2 linked regions of the Tamandua tetradactyla genome follow. The protein of the gene in region 1 interacts with the protein of each later gene in a pairwise test. Links are inferred from orthologs where the notes say so. Each region holds a gene or a part of one and is shown on either strand. Other genes may lie near its edges.

Evidence for each region.
Region 2: the proteins of CDK5RAP3 (region 1) and TSPYL4 interact in binary tests that used the Homo sapiens proteins (3 or more experiments, as listed by UniProt). The two-hybrid records come from large-scale screens. The link is inferred for Tamandua tetradactyla from reciprocal best matches to the Homo sapiens genes CDK5RAP3 and TSPYL4.

The regions. Positions count from the first base shown.
Region 1 is NC_135332.1:29,256,456-29,264,396, forward strand, and holds the start of CDK5RAP3 (CDK5 regulatory subunit-associated protein 3), read left to right. Parts: upstream 1-4,827; 5' UTR 4,828-4,947; coding exon 4,948-4,953; intron 4,954-5,177; coding exon 5,178-5,223; intron 5,224-6,844; coding exon 6,845-6,976; intron 6,977-7,658; coding exon 7,659-7,759; intron 7,760-7,941. UniProt on the Homo sapiens protein: Substrate adapter of E3 ligase complexes mediating ufmylation, the covalent attachment of the ubiquitin-like modifier UFM1 to substrate proteins, and which is involved in various processes, such as ribosome recycling and reticulophagy (also called ER-phagy).
Region 2 is NC_135331.1:175,370,387-175,378,580, forward strand, and holds the start of TSPYL4 (testis-specific Y-encoded-like protein 4), read right to left. Parts: upstream 3,216-8,194; 5' UTR 3,084-3,215; coding exon 1,836-3,083; 3' UTR 1-1,835.

The sequences.
Region 1 (7,941 bases):
GCTGCTAAGTTTCCAGGGCTTGCAGCCCAGCAGGCAGATAAACACACACACAGCAGTTAATGTGGCTGTGAGCAAGCACATAGAAAGCATAGAAGCCATAAAATAATAAACATATGGGAGGTAAAAAAAAAAAAAAGATTATTTGGATGTCAAGGGTAAGCCTTCTTTTTATGGCTATTGCATGAGGATAAATAGTGGGCGTTCTAGCCTAGAGTGGGGTGTGGTCCAGAAGGACTTTGGAAGAGAGCAGAGACTACAGGGTGGGGGTTCTAGATGTGCTGCGTAAGTGGGGAGAAAGTGGGAATCAGGACAAAGACCGAGGAAGGAAGAGACATGGGCTAGTGTGGCTGAGCAGAACGAATGGGGCAGGCAGCCATGTAGGGGAAATAAAGTCACGTCACACAGCAAACAAGAATGCAGGCTGAGGAGCCAGACAGGCCTGGGTTTGAATCCCAGCCCCCGCCAATTAGCAGCTCTATGACCTTGGACAAGTTACTTAATTACTCAGCTTTGGCTTCCTTGTCTTTAAAAGCGGGCTAATAATAGTACTCACATTATAAGGTTGTTGGAAGGATCAACTTAGATAAGGCTTGTAAAACATTAAGTTCTACACCCGCACGGCACGTGGTCATCCCTTAACAAGCAATTTAACAACATCCATAACAAGCAGGCTGCATCCATAGCACCCTGGGGCTCTGTGCTTCCTAAACAAAGCTGGCATAGCTGGCTGGGTCCCTGCCCACCTCCCTACATGTGCTGCTCTTCTCCCAGGCAGTGTCCCACCTGCTAAATCAGCAGCAAATTGAGAGATTCACAGCAAGGAATATCCCACATTCTATCCTGCCTCCTTCCAGATGCTGGGAGCCCCGAGGGCCACAGCTCCCCATCCCACCCACCCCTATGCAGGCAGAGCCAATGCCCTGATGCCAGACCATTGGGTCTGACGTGCCCCCAGGCCCCTGAGGTTCCCTGTGGCTTTGTAGGGTGCTCCCCGTGGCCCACTCTCCTGCGCTCTCTTGGGGTGGCCTCCCTGGGGCCAGCAGCTGAGCAGAAATGTCCTTTGCCATCCTTCTGTCCCACCTGGGTCACAGGAGCTGAAGGTAGGGGTGGAACGCCAGTGGTCTCTGCCTCCACCCATTCACCAGGGCCGGGTCTTCTAGAGCCACCCTGACCTGCTCTGCCCGGCCTATGGGTTCAAGGAGGAGAGATCCACCTTGAGGGTGGGGCAGGGTCATATTTCTTGGGATGCCCCAGAATGTAGGGAACACATAGTTGGAGTCCAGTAAGTGTTTGTTTAATCACTGGGGAGCCTGAGCAATTCTTGCGGCCTGAGTCAGGACTCTAAGACAGGAGCCAAATTCCCATGAGAGAACATGAAGAGGCCCTTGGTTCTGCCCTGTGAGCCGTTTTCAAGGAAGCTGAGTAAAGAAGTTACTGTCAACCCATTCTATAATAATAATAATGATTATTATTATATATATGATTTGTTTAAATGTTTTTTATTGTTAAATATAACATATACACAAAGAAAAGAAAGAAAAAGCAATGATTTTCAAAGTACACTTCAAGAAGTAGATGCAGAACAGATTTCAGAGTTTGTTATGGGTTACCATTCCACTATTTCAGATTTTTCCTTCTAGCTGCTCCCAAACTTTGGAGTCTAGAAGGAAGTTTTTTCTTTTCTGTGAAAAGTAACACATATACAAAAAAGCCATAAATTTCAAAGCACATCGCAACAATTAGTTGTAGAACAGATTTCATAGTTTGGTATGTGTTACAATTCCACCATTTTAGGCTTTTGCTTCTAGCTGCCCTAAGATACTGGAGACTAAAAGAAATATCAGTATAATGATTCAGCACTCATACTTGTTTGTTAAACCCGACCTTCTCCGCATAACTCCACCATCACCTTTGATCTTTCTCCCACTCTTTAGGGTATTTGGGCTATGCCTGTATAATGTTTAATATATATGAGTAAAAAATTATAAGAAAAAAAGGTCTAAAGTATCTTGTGAAGTATACAGAGCTACATACACCTAGTATATTTATGTATTTAATTCTATAAGCAGAAATACCTTTAATTGGTCAGCAGAGGTATCTCCATGCTATTGTTGAGGAAACTGTGGCTATGAGAAAGGTTGTGGAAATGGTCTAAGAGCTCACTGGGTAGGAGTCTATGTCTCCCCACTGTTGTATCACACCATACAGTTAAAAAAAAAATGTACTGGGTCCCAAAATTTGGGCTGCAGGGGCTGGACATGTGAAAGAATCAGGCAGAGCCTCTGGGAGGAGCTAGCCTGAAAGGGGAGCAATGGTCTACCCAGGACTGTGAGATCCTGGGGGGAGGGGGAGTGTGGAGATGTACTGTTCCCAACCTCTCTTCTCACTCGACCCCCCTCTGGGCCAGGCTCCTCTCCTCCCTGGGCTTCAGCCACTGCTTGGATCACAGATCGGCCAGCCTGTGACTCTCCAAAGCTCTCCCTCCAGCCCCTGAACTCCAGAGCTGTGGACGCCATTGCCTGCCGCAGACATTCTACCTGGCAGTCTCTGAGCACCACCAACCCACCCCCAGGTTTGAGGCTGAGATCCCCTCCCCAACACCTGCTCTGCACCCTGTATCCCTGTCTCAGACGGTAGCACTCCACCCAACAGAAGCTGTCATCCTTGGGGTCTCTCTCCCCTAATGTACCCAGCCAGTAAATTGCCAAGTGCTGTGCATTTTTCTCCCTAACAGCTTTCAAATCCAGCCTCCCTCCTCCTTCTCGTGGCTTCTGTCCCATTTGAGGCCCCAACCTCTCCCAGATAACCTCCTAAGCAGACAATGTCCCTGACTTCAGTTTTATCTCCCTTGAATCCATCTTCCTTGCAGTCATTAGAAAGATCTAAGATGCAAATCTATACAGGTCTCTCCCTGCTTCAAAGACTTAAAACCCTTCTGGGGTTCCTTTCTGCAGGGCGAAGTCCAAGTTCCTTAAGGAAACCCCCTAAGATTTGACCCTTCCACCTTCACAGACTCATCTCAGGCCACACTCCCTGCCTCAAAACTTTTACTATGGGGAAGTTGGCCTGCCCATAGAGCTGCTTCAAGAGCCTGAGACCGGTGCAGTTGCATGGGGCCCAATGTGCAAATGGACCCCACGCTTGCTTTACTGAGCAGCTGTGGCTGTCTTGAATTTCTTAGTAATTTTTGAACAAAGGTCCCGCATTTTCATTTTGCCCTGGGCCTCACCAATTACGCTGTTCCCTGAATCCCTCTTGCAGTTTCTGGCCTCCAAAGCTTTGTGCAGTCTCCCCACTGAAACACTCCTGCTTACAATGCCCCCCTTTCTACAGCTCTGCCTTTAAGATCACACTTAGGTGTTATCTGTGTAATGCCTCCCTGACCATCCTCCCTCCCTCTCCAGAGCACCAATCACCTAATCACAAATTGAGCACTGATAAATTGAAAGGGAAAACAGCCCGACAAGTGCCCCAAGAGAGTTACAAACTATTATTGATGGTAAAGAGAGGCAAAGAGGCAAGTTGGCTTTAACATTTTTTTTTCCTAGCTCTCCATCTCTAGGGTAAATTCCAAATATCTTAGCTTGGTTTATCAGTCCGGATTGGCTAAGTTATGCTGCAGTAACAAATTATCCCCAAATCCTAATGGCTTAATACATGGTAAGTTTATTTCTTGCTCACTGTACATATCCAATGCATGCTAGCACGGGCCCTGCCCCACATGGCCTTTCATGGGCCCAGGCTGATGCAAGCTCCAATGATATCGATCCAATGCTGGGTTCCCTGCCTGATGTGCATAACAGCTGATCCCTGACAAAGGGGACTCAAAAAGTCTACCGCTAGGCGGTGCCACGGTGGCTCAGTGGCAAGAATTCTCGACTGCCAAACTGGAGATCCAGGTTTGATTCCTGGAACCTGCCCATGCAAAAAGAAAAAAAAAAGTCTATTGCTACATGGAAAGCAGGAGATCAGATGGCCTATTGGCCCAAAAATCTGTCTCCCCGGGTCTAAGGAGTTCAGGGAGTTTATGGATTCAACCAAGGGAGCTGTTACCATTACAATATCAAGTATAAAAGCAGGGCTGAGACTAGGCTATAATAAGCATTACAATAGTGAGTATTCACAGGGCTGAGACTAGTTGAGTTTCAGTAATTTCAGGTATTAACTTTCAGCTGTTCTACAATATAAAAAGAAAACATCTATATAATGATTCAGTAATCATAATCATTTGTTAATTCTTAATTTCTCCTTTACACCAGCATCTTGGAGCATGTAACCTCGTTGGTCTCTGGAGCGAGGCAAGAAAGCTAAGGGAGAACTCACACTGCCTCTAATGTGCTTTAGCCCCGAACTGACATATGCGCCTTCCGCTTACAGCCCATTGGCTCCCTCCAACTGGAAGAAGACTGGAAAACGAGGGGCGAACATGGATATTTGGTGAGCAGTAACTATCTGTCATACACGACATACAAGACCTTTTGTGATCTACAAGAAAGAAGGATTTTTAATGCCCGTGGAAAACGCCCTCCAGGTTGACGCTGGGACCCTGCATGCGGACTGCGGGGAGGTGACAGCTCCGCGTTGTCCCGGGGTGGAGACTGCGGTTACCGTCCCTCCAGCGCCCCCTGCCGCGATCGCGCCACGGCTACAGCCCCTTCCCAGGCTCCGCCTTCCCATTCCCCGGCCTGAGCCCGCCTTGCTCCTCCCATTGGCTGTCTCCCGTTCTCCCGCCTCTCTCGGTGCAGCCAATCGGAGCCTGGGTGGGGGTGGGGCTTGCGGCCGGGGAGGAGCGTACGCCTCGATTGGCTCATTGGCTCTGCCGAAGGTGGAGACGTAGTCGAAGGAGGCCAGTTCGTGTCTAACTTAGACTCAGCCACCTCAGCGCAGGATTGGTGGTAGGGCGGGGCGGGCTTGGGTCCCCCGGCCGGAAGCGGAAGTAGAGGAAAGATGCAGGTGGGAGTACGGAGGTGGGAAAAGGGGGTGCTGACCTGGGACCCCTGGGCGGTGTCCTGCCGGTCCGTTGCCGACCGGCTATCTCGGCCTCGCCCCCGGGGCAGCCCTTCCTGGCCCTTCGATTTGGCCCCGCAGGGTGACTGTGGGGACTGTGAAATGAGCGCGCGAGTGTCGCACCCCCGGCCCGCGCTGACGCTCCCCTTCCTCCGGTGTTTCCCTCTTAGGACCATCAGGACGTGCCCATCGACATCCAGACCAGCAAGCTGCTCGGTAGGAGGGGGAGCCCTCGCTCAGCTGGCTGTCAGAAGGGGGGCCCGATTCTTTGTCCCCTGTCGCCAAGAGCCAGGAGTCTTGATGCCTGAAGGTCCGGGTTGAGGCATTTGTCTCTCGCCATGTGCCTCATCTGTGGCTGGACCTGTCTCGCTAAGAGAAGGGGGGATAGAATCGAACGTAGAATCTGTACTTCACCTGCCTTTTCTATATTAACATTTAAACGTGTTATCAAGTCATATCATTTAAGTGTAGGGAGGCTATATGACTTACTTTAAAGACATTCGACTGCCAAGTGACCTCCCCGAGATTGGAACTTAAGTGTCTCTAATGGCCACGCTTTCTCAGATATGCCATTCTTACTAGCTTCCATCTCCCTGTGATTTTAGGGGGATTAGGGAAACAAAAATTAGTTGGAAATAAAGACCTTTAATTAGCTAGGCCATCTCCCAACCGCCTCTCTCTGGTTTATGTACCTCTTCCCCAGTTCCGAGTAGGGGAAGGGTCTCTTTATTCTGACCACTCCAGGGTATTTGCACAGCTTCTGCTGTTGTTCATTGCTCAGTGAATTAATGGATACAGTGCCAGTCTTATCATTAAGGTGGTGTCAGGCCTTTGCTTTTAGTTCTGTGAGTGTGGGACCACAGTATTTGATGAGTTGGCAGATTTTAGGGCCATCTACTAAGACCTGTGCAGTGGCCTATAGAAGAGCTTCTTTAGCCTCACTTCAGATTTGTTCTGACTCTTTTGTACAAGTGCACTCTTGCTGTGTGAGCTCATCGTTGGTTATGAAAAGGACAAATAAAACAGTATCATTAATTGAGGGCTTGATGTATGCCAGACACTGTTTTAGGCATTTACTGTTATAAAAATAAGGATCACTGAGGTTTACTGAGTCCTTGCCAGGTGTCAGGCACAGTCCAGGCTTTATTTGGACTCAGTACCTTATTCTCTCCATTTTACATGTGGGGAAACTGAGGCAAAGAGAGGTTGAGAAACTAGCCCAAGAAACTGTGGAAGCCAGACCCATCTGATCATAAAGCCTAGCTCTTAGCTCTCTCCCATTGAAGACTGGTGTGCACAGCTCAGTCCACCCATACCTCTTATGAAAAGCACAGGTCTAAGCCTAGATTCTGGAAGGTCAGGCCTGTTGACATTTATATATATGGGACAGTACTTCACTGTTGAGACTAGACCAGTGTTATCTAGTTCTTAGGTATTAGGGGCTTTACAGATGGTCATTCATCTGGAACTTGGCATAACCATCTTGTGTTTTGCATTGTTGTGGTTAATTCCATCCCTGAGAAAGTGGAATGACTACCCATGGAAGCAGAAATACTATGGAGAATTTAAGTGGTCAAACTGGCGCTTTTATATCAGGACCAATTTAAAATTTTCTGTCTCTCTGTGTTGAGGCACATGCTCTATAAAAATCACACTGAAGACAAAATCAGGTTGCCAGGGTTTGTTTAGCCCCAAGCATCCCTTTGGATCTGTCTTTCCAACCATATTCCCCTGACCCCCAATCCTTAAACAGGATGAAGAAAATCTAGCTCTTGTCTCAGCCTATCTCATTTGGTGCTGGGAGTGGGGCTGCAATGATTTGGGTGTTTCTCGATAGACTGGCTGGTGGACAGAAGACATTGCAACCTGCGATGGCAGAGGCTGGTGCTGACGATCCGAGAGAAGATCAACGCTGCCATCCAGGACATGCCGGAGAGCGAGGAGATTGCCCAGCTGCTCTCTGGCTCCTGTGAGTGCTTCAGTACTGTTACCGGGGTCTCCCCTCTCCCAGAGCTGTCTGTATCAGCTGAGCCATTCTCTTGTTGTTTAGCTCCTGGGCTGACCCCTAGAGAGATATTTTGTTTTTTTAATTTATTTATTTATTAATTAAAAAAAAATTTAACAACAAACAAAAACATTAACATATGATCATTCCATTCTACATATATAATCAGTAATTCACAATATCATCACATAGTTGCATATTCTTTATTTCTTAGAACATTTGCATCAATTCAGAAAAAGAAATAAAAAGACAACAGAAAACGAAATAAAACAAAAACAGAAAAAAAAAAGATTATACATACCATACACCTTACCCCTCACTTTCATTGATCACTAGCATTTCAAACTAAATTTATTTTAACATTTGTTCCCCCTATTATTTATTTTTATTACATATGTTTTACTTGTCTGTTGACAAGGTAGATAAAAGGAGCATCAGACACAAGGTTTTCACAATCACACAGTCACACAGCTACATCATTATACAATCATCATCAAGAAACATGGCTACTGGAACACAGTAGAGAGACATTTTTATTTGAGGGTGTCAGTGCTGGTTTCTTCCAGCACCATATGATGACGGGAGAGTCGACCACATGCCAACGGCACTGTAATTCTCAATGTCTTCACTCTTCCTTGATTTCCAGACATCCATTATTTCCACTGCCTAAGAATCGTGGACCTTCTCAAAGGCACTGAGGCCTCCACGAAAAATATTTTTGGGTGGTACTCTTCACAGCGAATGCAGGCAAGTATGGGCTGAGGACTGGTGATGTGCCTCCAGCCTGCAGGGTTAGAGCCTTTCTCATTTCTCTGAGGATCCAGTGGGAGGCTCCTTTGTAGAATATTTCCTGAGCTTTCTCTCTGTCCCCATAATTTATGCCAAAGGTAGATCTTACCCCTGGGTTTAAATTTTCAGATCCACTGCTT
Region 2 (8,194 bases), on another chromosome or scaffold:
GCCTTCGAATAGGATGGGAAAGGGCAGGTCAAATATTCATCACCACCACCACCACATACCCCTCACAAATACAGCCCGACAGCACTGCTGTCCCATCTATTGGACTTAGCCCCAGGAACTTGGACAAGTGCACATCCCTCACCCACCAGGAGGGAAGCTTGGCATCTCCCACAATGTAGACTGTAGTCTGCTCCCTCGTTTGCTAGGACAGAAGGGAAGGACATGGGGATGCTGAGGCCTAAGGGCCAAGAAGACCAGGGAGCAGGATGGAGGCCCCCTGGCATGTCATAAAAGAGACAGAGGACAGGAGAAACTTGTAAAATGCTACCTTGAGTTCATAATTTTAAGTGGTCCAAGGTCCTGAAAATAATTTCTATTGTAAGGCAAGTGTAGTGAAGCTAAGCTTTGGCTGCCTTAGATCACATCCTACTCTGGGTGTATCCTGAACCCATCACCACTGGGCCTTTCTCTGTCTCCTCCAGCCTTCTCAAACTAAAGCTCAAGAAACACACAGGAGGTTTTGGTGTAATGGATAGGGAAAAGGAGTGGGGCTGTCACTAGCAGCCTATAAGAAAACTGCCCACAGCTAAGCAATTGTCTCCCTTTGATATTTTTAGGCCTTGCTAAAGGAAGTGGCACAAAGGCTTGAGGGGAGAAGAGGATAATAAGAGATCTGAATTCTATTTTACTTTCTCCCTTTGTACATAATCAAGGGGAGAGGCTGCTGTGCCAGTTTTTGTCTGTATGTGTGTTTTTTTCTCCTGTTTCTGAGCTGTAACTGTTTAAAAGAGAAAGAGGCAGAAAAGGTCCTACAGACCAGAAATAACTTCTTCAGTGCCCCATCCTGGCAGCTTAGACATGTTCACAGTAGGTGCAGTAGGGAATGAAGAGAGAACCCCACAAAGTTGCCTAGATTAAGTATGGTTCATTGCTGGGCTCAAAAGGCTTACTGTTGGGAACCATCCCCATTCACCTCCTGCTTTGGGTACTGTCACATATGTTTGCCCCAACCTGCCTGACAGCCAGTGAAGTTTACATATAATCATCTGAGGGGGAGGGAAGTTTTCCTGTGTGCTGGCTCCACAGAGTTCCTGTGAGACAGACAGTGGTGGCTTATGCAAAGCTCATCCAGAAGGCTGAGAACAGGTGGGGATGGATCATAACACAGGCCTTCATAGACTCACCATTAAGCTGGTCACGATGCACTGACTGATGGCAAAGGAAAACCAACATGGTAACACACAACCCTTCTCATTCATTACCTCAGTCATGCCTACCAGTCACTCATCAGCAACCTGTCTGTTCTGCCAGATAACCAGCAAGGTGGACAGTGTGGGCCAGTGAGACAGAAGGGATCCAGCAGTGGTAGTCTGGAATGTCCCGTTTGGGGAGATAGCTGACATCATCTATATCAGCTTCATTTTTGCAGCGGCGAAACTCAAAGAGCTCGCGTGGGTATCACAACACAGCCATCATAAGATACGAAGCCCAGCTAGTTGTTTGCAAAGATGTTATCAAGCTTCCCTGGCTGGCTGGTTGATAACCACATAAGGCAGTGCATATCTACAGCATCGTGTCCTTGGCATAGAAGCAGTGGCAGGCAATGCACTTGGAACATGTAACACACTGCAGAATAGCATGAAGACTAAGAGGAAGCAAAAGAGCAGTCATGTGGGTGATAACCTCGCAAGTGCGTGTTGAGGATCTAGAAAAATTAAAGGACAAAATCCTGTACGATGAGAAAGCAGATGAAATACTGCATGCTGTTGGCCAAGCACAGGTCCAAGAGGTGATGGTAAGGAAACTTGTGCAGGAGCTTCTCACAAAGGCAGGACTTAGCCAGACTGGAATCTGAAGGACATCGGGTTCTCCACTGGCTGTCTTGCTGGGCCTCTCATTCCTCTGCGGGCCCCTTCACCCATCAGGTAGTATTGCAGGGGATTGGGCCACAGTTCATCCTTGATGATCTCAGCAATCTTGTCGAATTCTAGGAGATTGTGGTCTGAGAACCAATCGAAAAAACTGTGGATACTGTTTCCCTGCCGGTTCTTGTGGATATGGGACTGGGGGTCTTGGCCCCGGTGCCATCGGATTGGGGTGGCAAGAGATACCACGCGGCCAGAGGATCTGCGCTCATATTCCTTGACGAGGCCCTCATTTCGGAAGTAGGGGTTACCCTGAAAGATGAACTTGAACTTGCAGCCTGCTCTGGGATGTTTAAGCTCCTCCACCTCCAAATTGGTCATGAACTTAAGCATGTCTTCATCTTGGCCACTGATCATGGGTGAAAGCTGGGGGTGATTCCGAAAGGCGGTGACCCAGAAATTTGGGATATTCTGGATAATGAAACTCCTGCGCTGCATATGGAGCCTTCGCATCCGGCCAAACTTGCGCTCCAGCTGAAGGAAGGCCCTGTCAGCCTGGGCATTAACATTTGACAGCTCCTGATCGATGGCCTCCAGTGAGTCCATGCAATTATTCTCCTTCGGGACCCTGGGCCCATTCTTCTCTTTCACATCTTCTGCCACCTTTTTCTCCTTCGGAGCCACCTTCTTTTCCTCCACCACCTCCTTTGCTTCTCCCTGGCCCTTGACCGCAGCCGCGGAGGTGGCACCCTTTTTAGTCGTCGCTTCCTTTGCCTTCGCCCCAGCCATCATCTGAGCCCTACAGCCCACTGCGCCACACCCCACTGCGCCACAGGCTTCCGGGCCCTTCTTCCCACCAGGACCCCGCGGCTCTCCGCCCTGACCGCCATTTTTCTGGCTGCTGCCATTTGCCACCGAGGCAGAGGCTGCTTCAGAGCGCCCGGATTCCTGCCCGGTTTTGGTAGGTGCATGGCTGCGGCTCCCGGCAACTCGGAAACGGAGCGCGAAACCGCACTCCGCAGAGTCGCGGGATGCGCCCCCCTCCGCCGCGGCCTCCAAGCTGCCCCTGCCCATCTCCGCCATCACCTGTATGGCCTTGGCTTCTTCACAGATCCTCCGGCACTGCTGTTGGTCCGGCTCCCCCGCGGCACGGTTGGAGGTAGAGAGGCCGCGAGGTCTAGGAACAGGAAATTTATTGCCTCCATCCAGACCGCTCATTTTGGCAGAAGTGAGACCACCACGAGAAGAAGAATGGAGGAGAACGTCCTTTCTCTTCGGTGGAAGCGGCTACCGCAATGGCCACTCGCACCACCCCCTTGTTCGTGCTGGCTGACGTTGCCATGGCAACCGGTGCCGTCAAGACTGCGGCATCCTAACACCGCGAGATCTCGCGCCACCTGGTGATTTCGCGCCACCTGGTGATTTCGCTTGTCATCCCAGCGTATTCCTTTGTCTTCTTTTCACAAAATGTTATTGAGTTTAAACAGTCTGGACAAGAGCTTTAACTTGCAGAAATGTATGTTGGCCAAATTCAGGCCTGTGAGAACCGTGTTGATGAGGATTCCTGTGGCTCTGAATGAAGACCTCAGTGCTTCTCATGAGTAAATAATGGATACAGCCACTAGGAGGCCTTCCTTCTTCAATGTACGGCTTCCTGGCGAAGACCCAAGACTTTAGATAAGCAGAGTTTGATTTTTAAGGAAATCAAGTGTCGTAATGTTAAATGTGATAACATGCAAGATTAGGAGCAGCAGCTATGGAGAGATAATTAACGAGTTATTTAAACTTGTCTTACAGAATTTAAAGATGATGTACTTTGGCCAAAGTCTAGAAGCAATTGGTCAGCATTTCCTCTTTATTTTTAACTAATATGAGTAGCAAAATGTTGTCTTTTCTTTACTTAGAGATGACACCCACACACACATGCAGGCAAATTTAAACATTACTGAAAGAAATTACATCTCGGGAATTTAATCTCTACAATGATGCATAATATCTTGCTTATCATATGGTTATAATCTTTATATGAAGGTAGTTCTTGCTGTATAATCAATGTGGGCATGAAGACAGCAAATATTTGCCAGGTTTGTTTCTGTGATAATTAACTGCAAGGCAGAGGCAATAATCAGCTATGTGTGGTCGCCTAAACTATTAGTCAATCCTGTTTTAATCAGTTAACTTATAGTATTCATTTGATAGTGATGTCACTACTATTTTTTATCTGTGTTAGCTTGTTGGCTGTGAATATACTGGCATTAATCCTTAGAAAAATGCAAACCAGAAAAAAAATTAAATTTTGCTTATTTATGCTTAACGTCTTAAATTCATATTTGAGAAATGATTATGATTATAATTTTTTATAATAGAAGCTCCCCACAGAAAGACCGGAGATTATAATCTCTTTCAAATAAGGGCTCAAAAGTGGATCCAGTAAGAAGTAGGGATTCACTTATCTGGAGACTTCTACTGAGGGAAGTAGGGCAGACCTGGTCTGCCTCAATATGAGATGCTGATGGACAGACACTTGTCACTGAGCTCTGGGGTTAACTATAGAGGTTTTTCAGAGAATTTTAAATAATTGAGATTTTTTTCAACTTCTACTCAAAAGGTGTGCCTTCTCAAAGGCACTGACCTCTTCATTGGCTATTAGCTAGTCAGTTATCCCATAAATGTGCAAATAAGATTCACTCTTCCCAGACTGCAGTTATTTTTTCTTGTAACCCAAGCCAAGATGCAGAGAAGCAAATGCTGAAGGAAAGCTAATTTTCCAGGAGTGGGGAGGAAGGTGCGGTGCTGGAGGTGAGGGGGTGCTGGGGGAGTGGAAAATGTGTTTGCTATTTGCAAAAGAAAATTATACAATTACATAGGGCTGATATCTTAGAACTTTTTTTTACTTGACATACCTTCCAAAATTTTAAAAAGCTGTATATGGCTGCTACTTGAAACATCCTGCCTCTGTGATTATTCCTGTCACCTGTATCATATTCCACTTTCATAAAAGTTTGCTCATTTTTAAAACTCAGCTTGTCTACCTCTTGTAAATTGCAGTAGGCATTTTTAATGCATTAATATAAATGTCAAGGCCCCAGAAATTTCAGAGAAGTCATCTTGCCTGTGATCCTTGTAAAGATTAATTTTATGTGCCAGTTTGACCAGGTTATGGTGTCCAGTGTTTGGCCAAACACTGGCCTAGATGTTATTGTGGAGAGGTATTTTGTAAATGTGATTAGCATCTACAGTCAGCTGGCTTTTAGTAAAGGAGATTACCTTGACTCTGTGGGTGGGTCCAATCAGTTGGAGCCTTAAGAGCAAAGAACTGTAGGTTCCAAACAAAGAAATTCTTTCTCACAACTATGCAATTCACAAGTACACAAGTCCCCTTGGAATTTCTAGCTGCAACCTCCCCACAGGATTTTAACCTCAAGATTTCAACATCGACTCTTACCAGAATTTCCAACCTGCAACTTCTTCTGCATGTTTAGAACTCAAGACCACAACATCACTCTTACTGGAATTTCCAGCCTGTAGACCTGCACTACACACGAGTGATCTCACACTTGCCAGCCCTCACAATTGTGAGCCAATTCATTATATACACACACACACATATGAGAACGGTTGATTCTATTTCTCTGGAGAACTCTGACCATTCAGTCCTATATATAGCCCTGTATAATTCCTAACTTGCCTCTTCCCATCTGCTGAATATAACCTTTCTTAATTACCTTACCATTCTGATGATGCTCTGAATTTTATAGCTCTTTTGACTTTTGTCATTCAATTAAGCTATCCTCAACTTCTTAACTTTCTTGGTTGTTTCATACAGGTCATTCTCTTCATCCCAGCTAGAAAAGTATGGTTGTATTGTGACTTCTTTTTTTAGCATCTAACATAGTATAGCCCAGTAACTATCTCATAGAAGGTTTTAATGAAACTTGATGATTTAACTCAAAAATTTAAAAGGTTTTGCAAATATGAGCACTATGACTTTACTGGTGACCTAGTTTATAAGAGCTGCCAGAATACAATATACCAGAAATGGAATGGCTTTTAAAAGGGGGAATTTATTAAATTGCAACTTTATAGTTCTAAGACTGTGAAAATGTCCAACTTACGGCAAGGTTATAATAATGTCCAAACTAAGGCATCCAGGAAAATGTACCTTGGCTCAAGAAGGCTGATGATTTTCAAGGTTTCTCTCTCAGCTGAAAAGGTACATGACAATGTCTGCTAGCTTACTCTCCTGGCTTCTCGTTTCATAAGGATTCCTCAGGGGCATTTTCCTTTGGCATCTCCAAAGGTCTCTGACTTTTTGGGCTCTGTTGGTTCTGTTGGCTCTAAGCATTTTTCAAAATGGTTCCCTTTTAAAGGGCTCTAGTAAGCAACCCCACCTTGAATAGGTGGAGACACATCTCCATGGAAACCATCTTATCAAAATTACCACCCACAATTGGGTGGGTCATAGCTCTATAAAAGCAATCAAAAAGATCCTGCCCAGCAATATCGAATGAGGATTAAAGAAATGGCTTTTCTCGAGTACATAATAGCTTCAAAATGACAAAACTGGTATTTCATTTTGAGTTGAATGGATGTTGTAACTATGAACCATATTTTACATTTTCGTTTCTTAAAATATAGGATATTTTTGCACACAGTAAACCTGTTCTACTGGCAATTGGCGTAAATCTCGTTACATAGAAAAAGAAACATCAATAGGATATGATTCTATGGAAAAACAGCCACAGAAAATGCCATGAAAATCTATGAGGTAATTTTCATTTGCCAGAACAAGGAATTAAGCAGAATTTCAAACATAATTTAATACAGAACATAAAAACGACTTTACTGAACTGTACAGTGACTACTGGAAAATTTATGAAATACCTCCTATTGTTAGTCTTTTGAACTATAGTTTGTTTTTCAGAATATGTTTATATCATGATTATATAGTCATTATTATATATGATTATATATGAATTATATAATTATTACATATTCATTATTGCTTGTATGTATTTAGTGCTTTCTATACATCAGACACTTAAATGCACTTACCACGGGTGTTATCTCACTTACCCTTCACAATAACCTTGTGAAGTAATAATCTTATGACTTCCATTTTACTTTGCCTTAGAAGGAACTGAGACAAAGAGAAAGAGAGTGACTTATTCAGTCACACAAGTGGTGAAGCCAAGATTTGAACCCAGATAATCTGACTCAAGAGACTGCACTCTCATTCATTGTACTATTCTGCAACACTGTATAATCTATAAAAATGAGAAGGCACTCTCCTAGGAATATAACCAAATGACCATCCAAACATAGCGTTATATTTTCTCCTTTATCTTTCTGCCCCTCTCTCCATTCACAAAGATAGTGATCATTGTTGGGGGCATGACCAATTACTAAAAGGAGAGGTAATAATTCATAATCCTCCAGCTCAATATCTTAAGTCAGTGGTTCTCAATCCATAAAATATGTTTCTTTTTATAACAATTGTTTTGAAATGCTTTAGTTGCTTGAAATTCACATGTAGTATAACATGCCATCATACACAACTTAAAAAATAATCAATGTCCTCTTACTTGTATTAAAGGAGAAATAAAAGTTAAAATTTAAAATATCTATTTCAATATGTAACTGTCTAGACATGTCTACACTGTATGACATATGTAGTTAGATGGTTATACCTATAGAATCACCCATGTATGATACAATTAATTGATGCAACCTGATTTAGATATATTATACCAGAAACATAAGCAGCAATGCTTCTGAAAGTTTTCTGAAATGGTGAGCAACTTTATGATAAAGTTCTGGAAAAAAGGACAAAATTTCCCCAATTTGCATGGTGTTTATCTCTTCAATTCTAAGCCATATGTTTTTTTCACTTTTTAACATCTGACTAGTATGTATGTAGGTAATATGCATATATTTATGATGATGTATCATAAAATTAAAGACATTTTAACAATTGTTGTCAACCTGACAGCTGTCATAGTGTACTTGGCATTGCCTCCTGCACACATGCTAACTTGGTTGTTAGTCCTGCCAGCAGGACTGGACAACTGAAATAGCTTACTCTTTAAGAGCCATTTAAGAAAGGAAATTGGGTATCATTTGTTGTCTGAAAACCTTCTGTAATATCTTCTGGTAAGATATCTTTTGGTAAGAAAGCCCCAGCCACAAAATTTGCAGAAGAGGTGTTAGTGTGTGGTAGACTGAATTATGTATCCTAGTTTAGACATATTCTTAATCCGTATTCCTGTGGGTGTGAACTAGTTATAAATGGAGACATGGTCCAACTGAATGATGGTGGATCTTAATCT